Linked DNA regions of Schizosaccharomyces pombe. Changing the gene in region 4 together with the main gene of any one other region gives a genetic interaction. Each region holds a gene or a part of one and is shown on either strand. Other genes may lie near its edges. The genes, in order: rpt4, SPOM_SPCC622.01C, the13 and prw1.

What was found.
Region 1: mutations in prw1 (region 4) and rpt4 together harm fitness more than expected from each alone (negative genetic interaction), as found in Schizosaccharomyces pombe (one large-scale study listed by BioGRID).
Region 2: mutations in prw1 (region 4) and SPOM_SPCC622.01C together harm fitness less than expected from each alone (positive genetic interaction), as found in Schizosaccharomyces pombe (one large-scale study listed by BioGRID).
Region 3: mutations in prw1 (region 4) and the13 together harm fitness less than expected from each alone (positive genetic interaction), as found in Schizosaccharomyces pombe (one large-scale study listed by BioGRID).

What each region holds. Positions count from the first base shown.
Region 1 is NC_003421.2:403,682-408,141, reverse strand, and holds rpt4 (proteasome regulatory subunit Rpt4), read right to left. Parts: upstream 2,542-4,460; 5' UTR 2,531-2,541; coding exon 2,313-2,530; exon of another isoform or gene 2,259-2,312; intron 1,891-2,258; exon of another isoform or gene 1,840-1,890; coding exon 891-1,839; 3' UTR 547-890; downstream 1-546. Other genes in the region: mug122 (PX/PXA domain protein), read right to left, coding at 3,644-4,460.
Region 2 is NC_003421.2:1,402,936-1,406,912, forward strand, and holds SPOM_SPCC622.01C (uncharacterized protein), read right to left. Parts: upstream 1,967-3,977; 5' UTR 1,821-1,966; coding exon 1,371-1,820; 3' UTR 516-1,370; downstream 1-515. Other genes in the region: SPOM_SPCC622.02 (uncharacterized protein), read left to right, coding at 2,141-2,524; SPOM_SPCC622.03C (uncharacterized protein), read right to left, coding at 3,034-3,432; SPOM_SPCC622.04 (uncharacterized protein), read left to right, coding at 3,742-3,977.
Region 3 is NC_003423.3:3,753,847-3,757,178, reverse strand, and holds the13 (acyl-CoA thioesterase), read right to left. Parts: upstream 1,331-3,332; 5' UTR 1,247-1,330; coding exon 761-1,246; 3' UTR 530-760; downstream 1-529. Other genes in the region: glutathione-specific gamma-glutamylcyclotransferase Ggg1, read right to left, coding at 1-522; transcription factor TFIIH complex subunit Tfb2, read right to left, coding at 1,721-2,741, 2,787-3,109.
Region 4 is NC_003424.3:5,109,711-5,113,733, reverse strand, and holds prw1 (histone chaperone, Clr6 and Rpd3L complex subunit Prw1), read left to right. Parts: upstream 1-1,851; 5' UTR 1,852-1,859; coding exon 1,860-1,944; exon of another isoform or gene 1,945-2,014; coding exon 2,015-2,120; exon of another isoform or gene 2,121-2,197; coding exon 2,198-3,302; 3' UTR 3,303-3,440; downstream 3,441-4,023. Other genes in the region: fun14 (integral mitochondrial outer membrane (MOM) protein), read right to left, coding at 38-253, 365-592; Ca(2+)/Mn(2+)-transporting P-type ATPase P5 type Cta5, read right to left, coding at 3,441-3,619, 3,666-4,023. UniProt on the Schizosaccharomyces pombe protein: Has a role in chromatin assembly and chromosome segregation. Involved in the deacetylation of histones.

The DNA.
Region 1 (4,460 bases), on a different chromosome or scaffold from region 4:
TCTTTGACAAACAAAAAGAGGGAAACTGTACGCCGATTTTAAAGAAACTAGCTTGCTAATCATTTTATTATCAGTTATTTGCGTTTCATACTTTTTTCCTTTTAATACGTTAATACTTCATTTGTAATTTTTTAGATTATTCATTTCTGCGCTCTTTGTTTTACGCCTTTTCGTCGTCTTTTTCAATGACTCTATCTGGCTATCTTTATCTTGCCTTTACTTTCTTGAAATTATGGGATAAAATGACTTCTAAACTGCGCATTCAGCTTCATCTAGTACTATAATAACTAGTTTGGCTGCTTATATGAAGCCAGCTATGATTTTCACCTCTCTTATTCTTTTATCTTAGCGTACTAGACGTTTTTCCTCGTTTCTTTGTCAAAGGTCTACTACCTTTTAAGGATAACTTCAAACTATCCTTCCTGGGAAGAGAAGAATTTTTGCATTTTTGAACCGGGTTTCGTTCAATATATTTAGTTCGTTCTTTACACTTCAGTGCATTTGGTTAGTTAATAATTTCTAGTCAAACATTTGCTTTACTTTTAATTCATGTGTATAATTAATTGTTTATTTTTACTTGATCATTTTTTCTTTTGTCGCCAGTAAATTATGTAGAGTGGAAAAACAATGTTTGGTATTTGGAGGATATGGAAAACATAATCAAATATTGAAGAAAATCAGTTTGTACTATCACAGATATGCCTTACGATAATATACATAGATTCCCATCAAGCATATTCATATATACATGATAAAAGCCAAAAGAGTCGGAATATATTAAAAGTAAACGTTTCACTTACTATTCGACCTTTTTAATCATAACTATGCAGTTGCGCGTATAATCTTCATCGGTAAACTTATCATTTCATGGCTTTTTGGATATATGTGCACTAAAGCTTTTGGTAATCAATTGTACCTTCAAGTTTCTTCAGGTCAGCAACCTTACGAGCTGCGGACATTAAATCGGACTGAATGACATAGTCGCGATCTTCTTTAATGGCTATGAATCCTGCTTCTGTAACCACATTCCGCAAGTCAGCACCATTTGTTCCATCTGTCAGTTTAACCAATGCTTCATAGTCAATTTCGCCTTGTTTAGAGACTTTTTCTAAATGGATTTTCAAAATCTCCATACGACCAACTTCGTTTGGTAGGGGAATTTCAATTTTACGATCTAGACGACCAGGACGAAGCAAGGCAGGATCTAGAGTATCAGGACGATTTGTCGCCATGATAATTTTCGTTTGGCCAAGGTAATCGAAACCATCCATCTGATTCAATAATTCCATCAATGTACGCTGAATTTCACGATCAGCAGATGTTCCTTCAGAGAATCTTCTACCACCAATAGCATCAATTTCGTCCATAAAAATAACACATGGCTCATGCTCTTTTGCATAGCCAAACATTTCACGAATTATTCTAGCAGATTCTCCAATATATTTATCAACGATAGCACTGGAAACTACTTTTAAAAAGTTAACACCTAAAGATGCCGCCACGGCACGAGCTAAAAGAGTTTTACCAGTACCAGGAGGACCATAGAGCAAAACACCTTTTGGTGGCTTAATTCCCACACGAAGGAATAATTCCGGATTCTTTAAAGGTAGTTCAATAACTTCACGCAATTCACGAATTTGTTCATTCAAGCCACCGACACCGGCGAAAGAAATGTCACCAGGGTCTTCAATTGACATATTGTAAACGAGAGGATCAACCTCACGAGGAAGAATACGCATAATGGTTAACGTGGTCATATCTAAAGATACACGAACGCCTTGAACCAAATGAGATTGGTCGACATTGTTTCTGCAACCTACAACGTAACGTGGACCAGAGCTAGAATAGGTTAGGGAAACAGAAAATAATGAAAGGAAATAAAAAATAGTGTACTAATGCAACGATAGATTTGTAAAAAGAGAAGGATGACTATACGTGAGGTATCTACTTTCCCAACGATTTGCTATGAAACCAGTAAACAGAGTGTTTCATGCTTCCGGTTATAGATTTTTATACCGTGTGCGCATTTCAAAAAGAATTTTTGCTGGATGGAGAGGTTAGAACCAAACAGTTTTTGAACACAGATTTTGCCCACTGAACTTATCTTTAAAAAAAAAAAGGAACGGGCAAATGATTATATGCATTTAAACATGGTTCCCATTCATACGCCACAAAAAATTCTTTATGAAGGAATTCAACGCCCAACATATGCATTACTAATAATAAGGTCTTCACATCCATTTTCACATTTCACTTGTATATATCCTCCACGTAAAGCAAACAATCTCCCAAAAGTTTGAGTAATTACTTACCTAGCTTTTACAATGAATCTTTCAGAATCAAGTTGTTTCAATACTTCTCCAATAATCTGACCAACCGACTGCAAGCTTTTTATATCATCCTCTGTTTTATCATATTTCTTGACTAGATCTCGATTTCCAAAACGCAAATCCTTCAGTTTTGAATCCCATTCTCGATGTTGTAATAAATAGGATTTATATTTCTCTAAAGCAGTGTCTCTTTCCGACATGGTTATTTCGCAAAAGATGTGTTAGTTCTGGTCAGAACATACTAGCAAATGGGAATCCAATTACTCGGTATTTTACGTTCTTAGAAATTATTAAAACTTCACTAAAGTCGTTTTCGTTAAATAAGCATTGCGAATTTCAGCGGAATCTGTTCTTGCGTAAGATTATATTTTTCTATAATAGCAGTATGATTACTAGACTACAGTTTTCTTTAAAAGAATATTTTGAAGTTTGAATTGAGTATCTTTTCAGTTTTGCAAGTTCATGCTGAAACCCCAACCGAAAATGCATTATTATTTTGTTTAAACTTCTCATATTTAAGTTTTCTCGAAACCAGAGGTATTACACTCCTGTCGCTATCCGTAAAAACAAAAACTTGTTGAGCAAACATCAAACTTTGAAGATGCTAGAATTACTGTTAATCTCAAAATTAACGAACGTTTTCTGCTTTAAAAAATTTCATCCTTCGTAAAATTTTGGGTACTGCTATGTCAACAATTTGGTAGTTGCTTCAAGTCATTCTGTTAACAAAAATTATGCTTAATCCGCCAAAACTTGGTCTCTTAAGTTGAACAATCCAATTCAATTGACCACTTGTGTCAGAATATGATTGTCAATTAATATCATAGTTCCTACAACTAAATTTTCTAAACATATACACGTCTAACTTTTTCTTACACAAAAAGCTAGATTGCTTGTAAAACGGAACGAACAATTAACCGAATAAACGAAACTCAATATGTATAAATTAACGCAAACTTGACTAAAGATAGAGAAGATAGTTCTCGACTTCGCCAACTTTAAACAAACAAATCTTAAAGCAAGGTAAAGTCGAAAATACGATTTTATAAATAAATATATAAAAGAAAGTAGGATAATAAAATATTAACAAACGAGGTAGAAAACAAGGGAATGGTTCTAAAGGTTCGTTTGATTTTGCGATTAATCATGAAACCGGTCATCACGTATCGACCAAAAGCTAATGGAATTTTAAAATGTAAGAGAAGGGAAACAAAATGATAAAAAAGGGAAAGAAGTAAAAATCATTAAAATGCCAGGTATATATCGGCGAAAAGAAATAAATATACGGCACACTTGCGATATACCTTGATTGACTATATGATGCTACGAAGAGCATTGCTAAGTAAATGTGCAAGGAACCCTTGCACGAATTGCGGTTCTTGAAGCAGTTCGAAAATAATTTTTAGGCTTTCCTCGGAGGTTGACTGTCCAAGCATAAGAGTAAAATTCTCAGATAAAGCGTTTTCAACAAGGGTTTTTTCGGCTCGTAATCTCAAACTTTCATCGCTTTCCTCGTCACAAAAAACTGAAACAGGGTCTTCAGGAACAGATTTGCTAGCCTCTTCGAAAAGGGAATCGGCTTCGCTATCAAAGGAAATTTTAGATTCAGTTGAACGTCTGTGTGCCCTTGTCGAATGTGATTCCATGGCTTTTTTTTCGTCGGGCCATACGTTTAAGATTAACGAAGTTAATAAATCTCCCACTAGTTGAGTGTTTGAAAGCTTGTCATAAATTTGGTTCTTTAACATTCGTTCAACTTGAGCCGAGAACCTCCCAGGACCATGCAATACTGTCGTCTTCATAATCGTTAAAACTGATTTTCGAAAAAACCACAACTTGGAATTCAGAGAGCAAAGCTCATCAACCAGAGCAAATCCCCCGCTGATAATTTCTTTAAGACGTTCTTCTTTTAATTCAAAAGCGTTTGGTTTAGGTGGCTCAGTGGTTGGACTTCCGTTATGATCAGGCATCGCTGGGGGGTTTTCAGTTGGTTGAGTGGAAGCGGGACGGTAAGGCTCATGAATCGAATCCTCATCATCCGAAGTACATGAACCGGTATCTCTATAGCCGGTGGTACAAAGTTCAAAGCTATCCCTTTGTTGGCTAAGTGGTTCAGGTGCCAATGTACTT
Region 2 (3,977 bases), on a different chromosome or scaffold from region 4:
ATGAAGATTAAAAGTATGATTTTATTTATTCGGAAAACAGTAGTTCACTAATTAACTGTCATAATTAACTAATGAAATTGGGAAACTCTCTAGTCGTCCTAGCATACTCATTATATATTCAATCATTGTTTCATTCAAATCTTTGTCTAACTCGTTTTTCTCATTTTCTTAATTTTTTAATGATATTCGAGTTTAATTTTTTTATTCTCTTTACTTTGTTATTTAAAAAAAACTTTAATAAATGGTGGGAAGCATTGTGATAAAAATCGATGCATCAGTTATCTTAATAAAGTTGACGGCAATTCCTTTATCCAAGCAAATTCTTGCATCTGGCTGAGTGTAAGAATTCGTAGCAAATGCTATTACTTTTGCTCGGTATAAAACCCTTTTATTACATTATTATTTTTTTTTTGGTATTCCAATATTTTTTTTGCAATACAATTGAATCCACATTTCTCAATTTACTTGTAACCTATTTGAGAGTAATGATAATGTTAAGCAACACAATATTGTTTATTAAAATTAATATTATAGTAATTCATTACCTTAGTAATGGAATTACAGAGACCATTGCACTTTTGCGCATCATTAAAAAAATTTATAAAGGGACGCATGGATAACTATGGGTTTTGCACCCCGTTTCGCTAAGGCAACTCTTAATATAGCCGTTATCTCAGTATTAGAGCGCTCGGTATAAGGTGAGTAAATAAATAAAGGAAGTGAAATGCAATGTTTGCGAGGTGGAAAAACTGAGCTATTATGGAATTCCTATCTTTGCTTAGTTTTATATTAGTCGGAAACAATGGTAAAGCTCTGCAATCGATTTATGCAAGCATGGTGAATGGGCCTTATGCATGTGTGCGATCAATTTTATCAACGCTAAACAAGCAGTAGATGTAGCCTCAATACTATATATAACCCGTACTTGTCTAAGGATATGGATAATTGTATGCAAATATACATGCAAACACGCATCATCAAGGATTGAAGAGGCCAGCTATGTTTGAAAGATCATGATTCATTGAGTTGGAAGTAAACGACAAATAAAAAATCGAAAAAAAGTATAATTGCAAGTACAAAGACAATTTAATATAATAAAACCAAATCTCCTTGATTAAAAAAAAGTGTTTTGGAAGTTAAAGGGAACGCCAATGTAAGTAAATAAATATCGCGGGTAATTTCCTCTTTGTTCTTCGAGACACAATAAATTAAATGAAAATACGAGAATCAAACACAGTAAGACATATCGTTGGCTAATCACATTCCCAATGCTTTCTTATTGCACTGCATTTACGGAATTCTCATTTGAATGGATTGAGTCGGATTGAAAATCAGCGCCACCGTCACACCATTCATATGAACCACTTTTTTTATTTTGATAAAAGGGTGTTCATTTCTTCACTTTCTTCTATTTCTTCGTTTCCTTCGTTCTCCTCTTCGAGCGATGGATAACTGGGAGGAGGTACCTCTTCGGCATAAGGATAATAACCACCGGCATTGAGCGCCATTTCATCTTCTCCCGGTTCCTCAATTTGTCTTTCATCTACAAGTTGAAAACACGGCCACACAAGGAACAGGAACATCACAAGGAATCCAGCCGCCAACACAGTATTCATTCCCAACACCCATCCCGGCACACCAAAACTATAAACGATGGAGCCAACCGCAAACTCCATGAAGCATGGGATTAGCATGTAAAGAGCTCGTTTTGAAAGAATTCCTTGTATATGACAATTCTTTTCAAATGCTTCGAAGTAAGAGTAACGTCGTCGAATTTGCTCGCGAGGGACGGCATGGATGAATACATTATCCACAGTCATCGTAGGAAAAGTGAATTTACAGGAAGGAATTAGGAATAAGTACGTTTCAAAAAGTCAAAGTAAAGTTTTCAGGTATTTTTTATTACAACAACGTCATTCCGATGTGGTTTTCACTATACCCGCTGCTACACTGAGTAAAGAGGGAGGATACTGCGGTTAGCCCAAATGTGGAAAATGTCCTTGAACCCTACCTACCCGAAGCAAGAAATCCGGTGTTGGAAAGCGCTGAAGGAGCGACATTCACAGTTTGATTTTCTTTTCTTTTTTTCTATTCTTGGACATCTGTTTTGATTCTTTTCTTTCTGCTGAACAGTTTCACGATGGCAGCAAATATCTCGAAACTTGAAGCAATTATTGATAATACACCGAATTCTTCCCCAGACCCAGAAGTTTCTCACAAGTTATGGGTGTCCTCTTTAAACAAATTTCAATACACACTTCCTCTTTTGATTAGTAACTTTGCTGGGCTCGGAATTGCGTTCATTTACTGCCTGATCGCTTTCATTCGAGAAATGTCGCATCCTTCATCCAGGAAAGACACAATGGAGCACGGGTTGCCCATAATTTTGTGCTCTACGTTGATGCTTGTTGGAAACATCCTTTACTATTTCTTGTCGAAACATCCGCTTAAAGTCACCGTTCCAGAGGATTTGGTGCAAATTCCTATGCAACAAATGTCCAGTCCCGCTCAAGAAGCACCTTAATTGGCCGTATATTTTGTTTCAATTATGTTTTTGAAGTGCTTGTCTAATATAATAAGGAGAATGCCATAATCGGTGACATTGTGAGCCGAGTTTTTGAGGCAGACATGTAGAATAGATGATAATTTGTATTTTATTAATTAATCTGTGAATGATATATTAAATGAATTGAAGTTCAAAATGAAATATGAAGAGGTGTCGAAAATATAGGAATAGTACAAACCAGTATATCGAACAGTGCTCTAAATTTTGGAAGATGAGTTCGTTCAGGGTCGATGTATTCAACACACTTCCATTTCGCATTACGAGACAAGTTTATGAAACGAATACGTTTTAGATAAAAATAGTATTGAATTATTAAGTTAATTTTTAGATTAGTAGTGACTTAAATGTTGAATAAATATTAAAGGAGTAATAAGATTAAAGGCAGCGGAATGGAAACGAAATATTTTATAACAAAGTGAAACAGGCGTAAAGGAATAGGTGCCCAAAAGCGATATATGAAGGTGTTATTAATACCTCTGATATGGAGAAGAGTTGAATGTATCTTCTCTTGCTTTAAGATTCTCTTGAAAGTCCTCAACTTCACCTCGTCGAATTTCAACTGTCAGTTTACGAGAACCTATAAAGAGCATCGCAAGTACTATGAGTATGAGTAAAGCATTTACGACAGCATCGATCATAGCAATTACTTGAATAGCTGATGGAAAACCTTTAAAGATGAAAGTAAACACAAGAATGAAAAGACGGCAAGACACGATGAAGGAGATAAAAGACATAAACAAAAAGTCATAATTATCAGCTCGTTCCTTACCGGCTTCATACGTTTTCTTTTCAATTAGTTTTTTGTATGTGGCACCTTTAAGTAACGACTGGAGTTCCCATAGTTGAATGGATTTCTTTGGATTCATATTTTTGTGGGAGGCAAAACAGCTAGTTTGAACAAATCCGTTTAAAAACAAGAAAAATTGCGAAAAAATATTAATATGAAATAAAATGCTTAAAAGTCAAAGGATTTCGACAATCGTTGTTAATGAGTAATTGGAGCGCAAGACCAGAGGTTTAACGATTTTGATATTCAACCAATATATTCAATTTCTCTGCCTACACAATCCCGACCTAAATATTCTGTATTATTTGATAAATATTTATTCTTCTTATGCAAAAGCATTTTCATTTTCTGGCCAATATCTGCTAAATTTTGTGTTATATTTATCAACATGACACAACCTGACATTGAAATAGTTATCAAGGAGGATTTTACCTATAGGGAGTGTTCAGATGTTGCGAACGATGTGTTTAAAAAAACTCAATGGCTCTTGTACGTTTTCCTTTTCATAATTTTTGCCAATTGTGTTGTTGATGTTAAGTATTATTTTGAGGGATTTAGTCATTCATTATTATTCGTCTATTTTTTCTTGACTTTAATAATTCTTCTTGTAAGTTTTATGGGATT
Region 3 (3,332 bases), on a different chromosome or scaffold from region 4:
TTTTGCAAGCTCAAATAGATAAACAAAGTTATCTCCGCTCTTTCCTCTTCGTGTAGAAATGATTTTAGCCATTTGAGTTAGGTCGTCTGAGGGCTGAAATTGGGGACTCTTTGAAGTACCCACGTAAACGAGACAATTCTCCAAAACCGGAATTTCATCACCGGTATGGGCATAAACGGGAACACTATGGGCGGTATAACCATTGACTTCTCTATCATCCAAGTATTCTCGCACTTGCGTCGCATATTTTGCAGGAATGCGAAATGCCATACCCCAGCATCCTTCATCAAACGGGGTGAAAGACCAGTCAGAAAATTGCTTCCATTCTTCATAAGGTATCAAGGTGAGAACGAGACCAGGTGAGTTAACAGTGCCCCTATGATCCTCACTACGCATCCAGAATCTGCGAACATAACCTTTTATAAAACATGGAATACTATAGTCATAGTGAGGAGGCGGATGCCAAATTAAAGAGCCATAACCAAACACCCATAAACTCCCTTCCGGACTAAGTGTTTTCATGAGCGAATTCAGCCCAAGTTTCGTTATTAAAAGGAAACCGGTGACTGTAAACTAAAACGCGAGCATGTTCCGAACCATAACATGAGCTTACAATAGATAACGACGGATAGCAAAATCCCTTATTTTAATTCCTAAATTTATGAAAACTGAAAAAATCGTGTAAAACATATCAACATTAGCGAGTAAAACAGAGCAGAAAAAGCGAATAGCCAGAGAAAGATATAAAATATAGGCAGAATTAATCTTCGGCTAAGTCAAGGCAATTTCTAGGATCTCCTAAAGCATTTCGAACAAACTTAGTATGCCTACCTTTAGCAAAGACCTCATTAGAAGATGTCAAAAAATCAACGCTCGTAAAAGCAATGTTTGATCCTAATCGATCACACTTTGCGTGCAGTAAAATTGATGAACCTAAAGTACCACCACTTTGTAAAAAAGTTTGATTCATATCTATTGACACGCCAGAAATAAAAAGCCCTCGACTGGCCAATGCTAAACTTCCTCCCAAATCAGTGAGTGCTGCAATACAACCGCCATGCAAATTACCCATACGATTTAGGTGATGCTTCTGCAGTTTCAGAGAGCATTCTACAAATCCTGGAACTGCACTTATAATTTGTATATCACTGACTACATGAGCATCAAACCCATTGGTATTTACAAAATCCTGCCAAACAGAACGAACGAAAGAAAGCACCTTAGTACCAGAGCTATTAATTGCCATTGTGTCTTAAAACTTCGTTTAACAGGTATCAATCACTGTAAAAGTAAGTACCTCAGGTGAATTGGTTATGTTGTGGCAGTTCTTGGCTACTCGCAGCAGCGATACTTGTAGTTAGTAAGGATTTACAAGCCATTTGCCTGCCTATAGTAATATCACCAAATCATTATTACAAATGGTAATATAATTAAATGAACATTAAATACAAGAATATGAATATTGTTTGGATTATTCAAATAACGGATATTTTTTTTTTCTAATGACGAGAAGAAGAAATTCATAATTTGAACGTTAAAGAGTTGCATCATTAAAACTTGAATTTCGTATAAATATCCAACACGCGTATAGTTAACATGGCTAATGTTGAGCTTATGTTATATATATGTTTATTGACACCAGTAAATTACTTACAAGTGATTTGAGATTAATTTAATATTTTCTAATTACCACTTCTCTTTTGAACCATCCAAAAAATATTCATTTGACAGCTCGTCTTTTCAAGTATGCGATCATGGGCTGGGCGCCTGTCGTAGTTATGAAAAACATTCTTTTCAAGGAACTGTCCCAAACCAAAACCCCGAGTTCTTTTGCGTACTCTACTGCTTGGTCGAAGCCAGAATCAGTAAGAAAATCGCGAAACAAAATTCCAGGAGTAGCCCGAAGTCTATTTTTTTCCAATTCCCATAAATAAATTTGATCTACTAATGTAGGAGGTAAAAGAGGAACATTCGATCTCATCTGAGGGTGAGCATGAGTTGTCAAGTATGTAATAATTTGCTCCGCTGCAATTCCATTCATCAAAGCACGACGAATACTATCCCGAGTTATCACACCGACAACAAGATTTGAAAAACGCGCCCTTAAGTTAGCAAACAATCCGATGATGGCAATCTGTAATGGGGAGCTTGTGTAAGCATATAATCGGTAATTTGTTTCTACAATAATAAAACCTTTATCATCATCATTTTCACTTTGCTTTCCATGCAATGAGCGATAATCAGTTGTCAGACCTGTTGCCAGTCTGGTTGGATAGAAACGCTTGGAAGTAATTTTTCTTTGATAAACTAATCCATATTCTCTTAGGTCTTCAAGCATGATTTGTTGTGTATCTGTTAAGAAGTCCACTGAGTATGCCCTCCCCAAATCCAAACTTCCAAGCATAAATAAAAAGTGCAAAACCTGAACAGGATCCATATGCGTGTCTTCAGATAGTTTTAAATAATCCAAAAGTAACGTCCAAATTTGAGCATTTATATCCTGTAACAGAAACTGAAAACCGGCACGGGTAATACGTAGCTGGTTTTTTGGACCAGACATTAAACCGCCCCGCTTTAATAGACTTAAGACACCTTCTCCAGGAAATTTAGCTTCCGGAGTTCCTACCATGAAGTGCAAGATTGTTTCCCAAGTTTCTTTCGCATATGCGTCAAGAAAATCAACCGTCACCAAGTGCTTGTCTTCATCGGTACATGGCACGCCAAACGAATTGTGATTTCCTCTAAAAAGCTTAATTAGTTTATACTCAAAATTCAATAAAACTTACCCTCCAGTCAGAGCAGTTATAAATTGTTTGCGAAATTCACTATTTAGAGTGATATATTGTCCATCAAATTGAAATATATGCATCCTAACCAGTTTGTTGAAGGATTCAGATTGATAAACTTTACTCGAAAGTTTGATCCATAAATCGAAATCTGAGAGTGCTACTGGCATAGGATTGAAAAGCATAGACATGACATACTGTCTAGCTAGAATTGGCAATAAACGAAACACAGCAAGACAAGCAGCTGGCTTTTGGTAAAGCCTTGCATGATTTGGTAACTGTTCCAGGAAGTCGTTGATACTAGACTTGAATTCTGCTTGCATGGTGACAATTTGCGAACCTACTTCAAAAGGTTTAAATTGGCGGTTGTAATCTCTCTTTATTCAGCTGAATAGAACAAAATCCAGTGTACTCAACTAATAAACTTATTTACGATTATCAATCTTCCATAAATGCCAGATAAGCAATCATCGCGAGACCGAAGGTGGATGGTGATCAAGAGCGAGTCGAATTACTGGTATTAAATAGGCTAGAATAACAAGCCAA
Region 4 (4,023 bases):
CAAAATCGAAATGTGTTGTGGTGAAATTCAGCCACTTTTATGATGACACAAATCCAACATACATAGCTGAAAAGAAGCTCAGCTTGAAATTGGGGTTTGTACAGATCCAATTACGAATGGTAGGAAATGTTGATTGAGTATTAAACCTACCTGAACTTGGGAAATGAAATCCAGTATACTGCTCCGTAGGACCTATAACTTGTTGCTGCAGCTGGGGCCAATTAATTCGGATCAGACCTTTACTGTTAATATACTAATAAACGTATTGTGTTAGTATTATGAAAGATAAATACGATTTTCAGTGCGAAACACAAGGTTTTTAAAACCTCTAAATATAAATAAAGAATCAAACTTAAGCACTTACAGCAATGGTAGCGAAAACGGCGGAGCAGGCAACGATGAATAAACGGCCCAATTTTCCTAAAGCAAATCCGGCTGCTAAACCAAGAGAGCTTCCAATAAAGATTTGACGGTAATTCAGCTTAAATTGAGAGGTGATAGTAGTTGCAGCACTTGCCGAATCTTCACACAAGACTGGGCGAAATGGGTGAAACCTGTGCAAGAATCCTCTTCCTAGAAGTAAACAATTCATTATGTGAGAGTAAAAAATAAAGAAAAATAATAGAAAAGGTACAAATTTGGTGGAAACGGTTTAGTCTAAAGGTGGGAATTATTACGAAACGTCATGTCTCGAAGATGTAAATAAAAGATGGATAAAGTATCTTCGTTGCTTTTTCTTAATCAGCTTACTGAGAAAGTGTGTGTCTTAAGGTAGATTTATTATAAGAGAAAGATGTAAACAAATGTATTGTGTACGAAGTATTTAAGTGAAAGGTAATTTTGTGCTTCTTCATCATCGTTTCTAAAATTAATAATGTTCCTTTTTAAGATCAACGATCTTTTAGTTTGGTATGACTTGCTTCGAAGTTCTTTTTTCTTGATGTAAAGAACGGCATACATATTGAAACGGGATTGTCTTCATTTTAACAATTAAATTAAATATATTTCTCATTTCTTTTACTAAGGGTACGCAAGAATACGAGGGCATCTTGAATTCGGCTTCTTGCTCGTTTGGTTTTCAGTATGACTTGATGCATTTTCCAAGGATTGCAGAACAGGTGGGAGATCATTATTTTAAATCATATACTTTTTATTCACGCTCAATTGAATATTCAAAAAAAGGAGAACTTCAGAAATTTTGGCTGCGTTTTGCTATTGGCGATACACAAGTTGAATGTACCTTAAAACTAAGAGGAACATAATTTTTTTACCAATTTTAATAATCCTGCTTCTCAAGCGGTTGTTGCCTTGTGTGACTAAAAAAAAGCTTCAAAGTGTTTCTGTTCTTGACGCACTGATTCATGCAGAAGTTAGAGTAGATGAAATTAGCATGAAAGCAAAGTAAAAAAAAACTCATCTAAATTAAAGATTCTTAACTCTCAGCTCTATAAATTTATCTTTCCATCTTGTGTCTTATAGCAGTCCATCGGGAAGCTTGTGCTACCCAAATTATATCTCACTTCTGTATACATATGTTCAGCAAACATAATCATTTTTAGTAATTCAACTTTTTACAATTAACAGTCTCTTTAAAAGTTGCAATTTCTAGCACTGTGGAAACGCATCTCAGGTCGAGAGAGAAGATGAAAAGACGCTAGCCGAAGCATGAGACAAGATTAAGTTTCTATTGTTTTTTCCCATTTAAACATCTATACGGCTGTGATTATATAAAACCTAAACAATCTTAATTTATAAACCAACCTGCACCTATTTAAGAACACTTAGTGTGCACATTAGCGCTGCACGCGTCTACTCACCATCCACCAAAAAGCAGATTCAATCATTTTAACTAGAACATAATGGCTGTATCAGCTGTTCCCCATCCTTCCAAGCAAGCGCAGGCTTCGGAGGAGGGAATAAATCAAGAAAAATGCATCAATGAAGGTATGTCTGCAACGTTTTAACATACAATTTCTAGTTGATCAATGTAAAATGTGTTTCTAATCTGAAACAGAGTATAAAATTTGGAAAAAGAACTCACCGTTCCTTTACGATTTAATAATTACTAGAGCTTTGGAATGGCCTTGTATGTCACTACAATGGTATCCAGAGCAGCAAATGTAAGTCAATCATTTGAATCATAATGTTTAATCTTGTTTATGTGACTCAAAAAACTTACCATTATTTTTTGTTATAGTTTTGCAGAACATGGATATACTGAGCAGAAAATGTTTCTGGGAGTTCGTGCTGATGTTGGCAAATACTTACTAGCTGTTGCGTCTATTCAATTACCCTATTTAAATCAGACTGTTCCTCCTACTACAATGGAGGGAGCATCTGCGGGTGACGAGTCTTCTCTACGTGTTAATATCTCAAATCTTTATTCTCATCCTGAGTCTGTTTGTAGTGCGAAGCTTATGCCACAAGACGATTCTTGTGTAGCTACGGTGGGTAACTATCATAATGATGTGTTGGTTTTTGACAAGGAATCCTTCGAATCTTATAGCTCGGCTAGTGAGTCTCCTCTTAAGCCCAAATATAGATTGACCAAACATACCCAGCCCTGTACTAGTGTTTGTTGGAATTTTCTTTCTAAGGGTACTTTGGTTTCTGGATCGCAAGACGCTACTCTTTCTTGTTGGGATTTGAATGCTTACAACGAGTCAGATTCAGCGTCAGTTTTGAAAGTGCATATAAGCAGCCATGAAAAACAGGTCAGTGATGTACGCTTTCATTATAAGCACCAGGATCTTCTTGCTTCAGTTTCCTATGATCAGTACCTTCATGTTCATGATATTCGTCGCCCTGATGCTTCCACAAAGCCAGCTCGAAGTGTGCATGCCCATAGCGGTCCTATTCATTCTGTTGCTTTCAACCCTCATAACGACTTTATTTTGGCTACTTGTTCGACTGACAAAACCATTGCACTTTGGGATTTACGGAACCTTAATCAACGCTTACATACATTAGAAGGACATGAAGACATTGTAACAAAAATTAGCTTTTCTCCTCATGAAGAGCCTATTCTTGCTTCTACCTCAGCCGATAGAAGGACCTTAGTTTGGGATCTTTCAAGAATCGGGGAAGATCAGCCTGCTGAGGAAGCTCAAGACGGTCCTCCGGAGCTTCTTTTTATGCACGGAGGCCATACTTCTTGTACAATTGACATGGATTGGTGTCCTAATTATAATTGGACAATGGCAACCGCTGCTGAAGATAATATTCTTCAAATTTGGACACCTTCTCGCTCAATTTGGGGTAATGAACAATTAGAGGAAGATGCTACGGCATATTTAAGTTAACCGGTCGTATACAACATTCATTGATATTTTACTTAATGTCCCAAACCTGTTTCTCTCTTTAACTCCTTTTTTTTTCTACCCTAATTGCACATAAAAGCAAGTTTTTGATTAACATATATATATTTAATTTTGTTTTTTTTACATGTTCAGAATACTCGTAAGGCAGCACGAGATAACTCCCATAAAAAGTATTATGAAACGATACAGTGTCGGTAGACGTGTGATTTGCAAACACCTAGAGATAATGTGATTTTCATTTGCAAAACATAGATAGATATTGCAAAGGCCAATGGTAGTACACAAACATACATAAGTTTCTATATCATAAGATGTTAATAAACAAAAGACAGGATTTTCACTTACTTTTTTTCCAAATAGGTGACAAAAACTCGGAACTTTGGTTTATTCCAATACAAATTCCTAAATATTGTAAAGAACTTAAAAGAAATATGCTAGTCACTAGCACGTTTTTCGTATTTGATTTTTCAAGTTGCCATTCAGGTAATTCAACCCAGTTCAACTCGTGTAGTATTAAAGTCAGCAAGCCATGGGATAGCCATATTAATACTGATTGAATTCCTAAATCCTTTACTCTTCCTTTGCCAAACAATGTTGAATTAGGGCGATTGCTTGTCAAATTTTGAGCAGGGTCGAAGTAACTCATAGCTGCTGACAGTGGAAATATGATTAACAGATCCATAAACAAAAATTGGTTATCGTT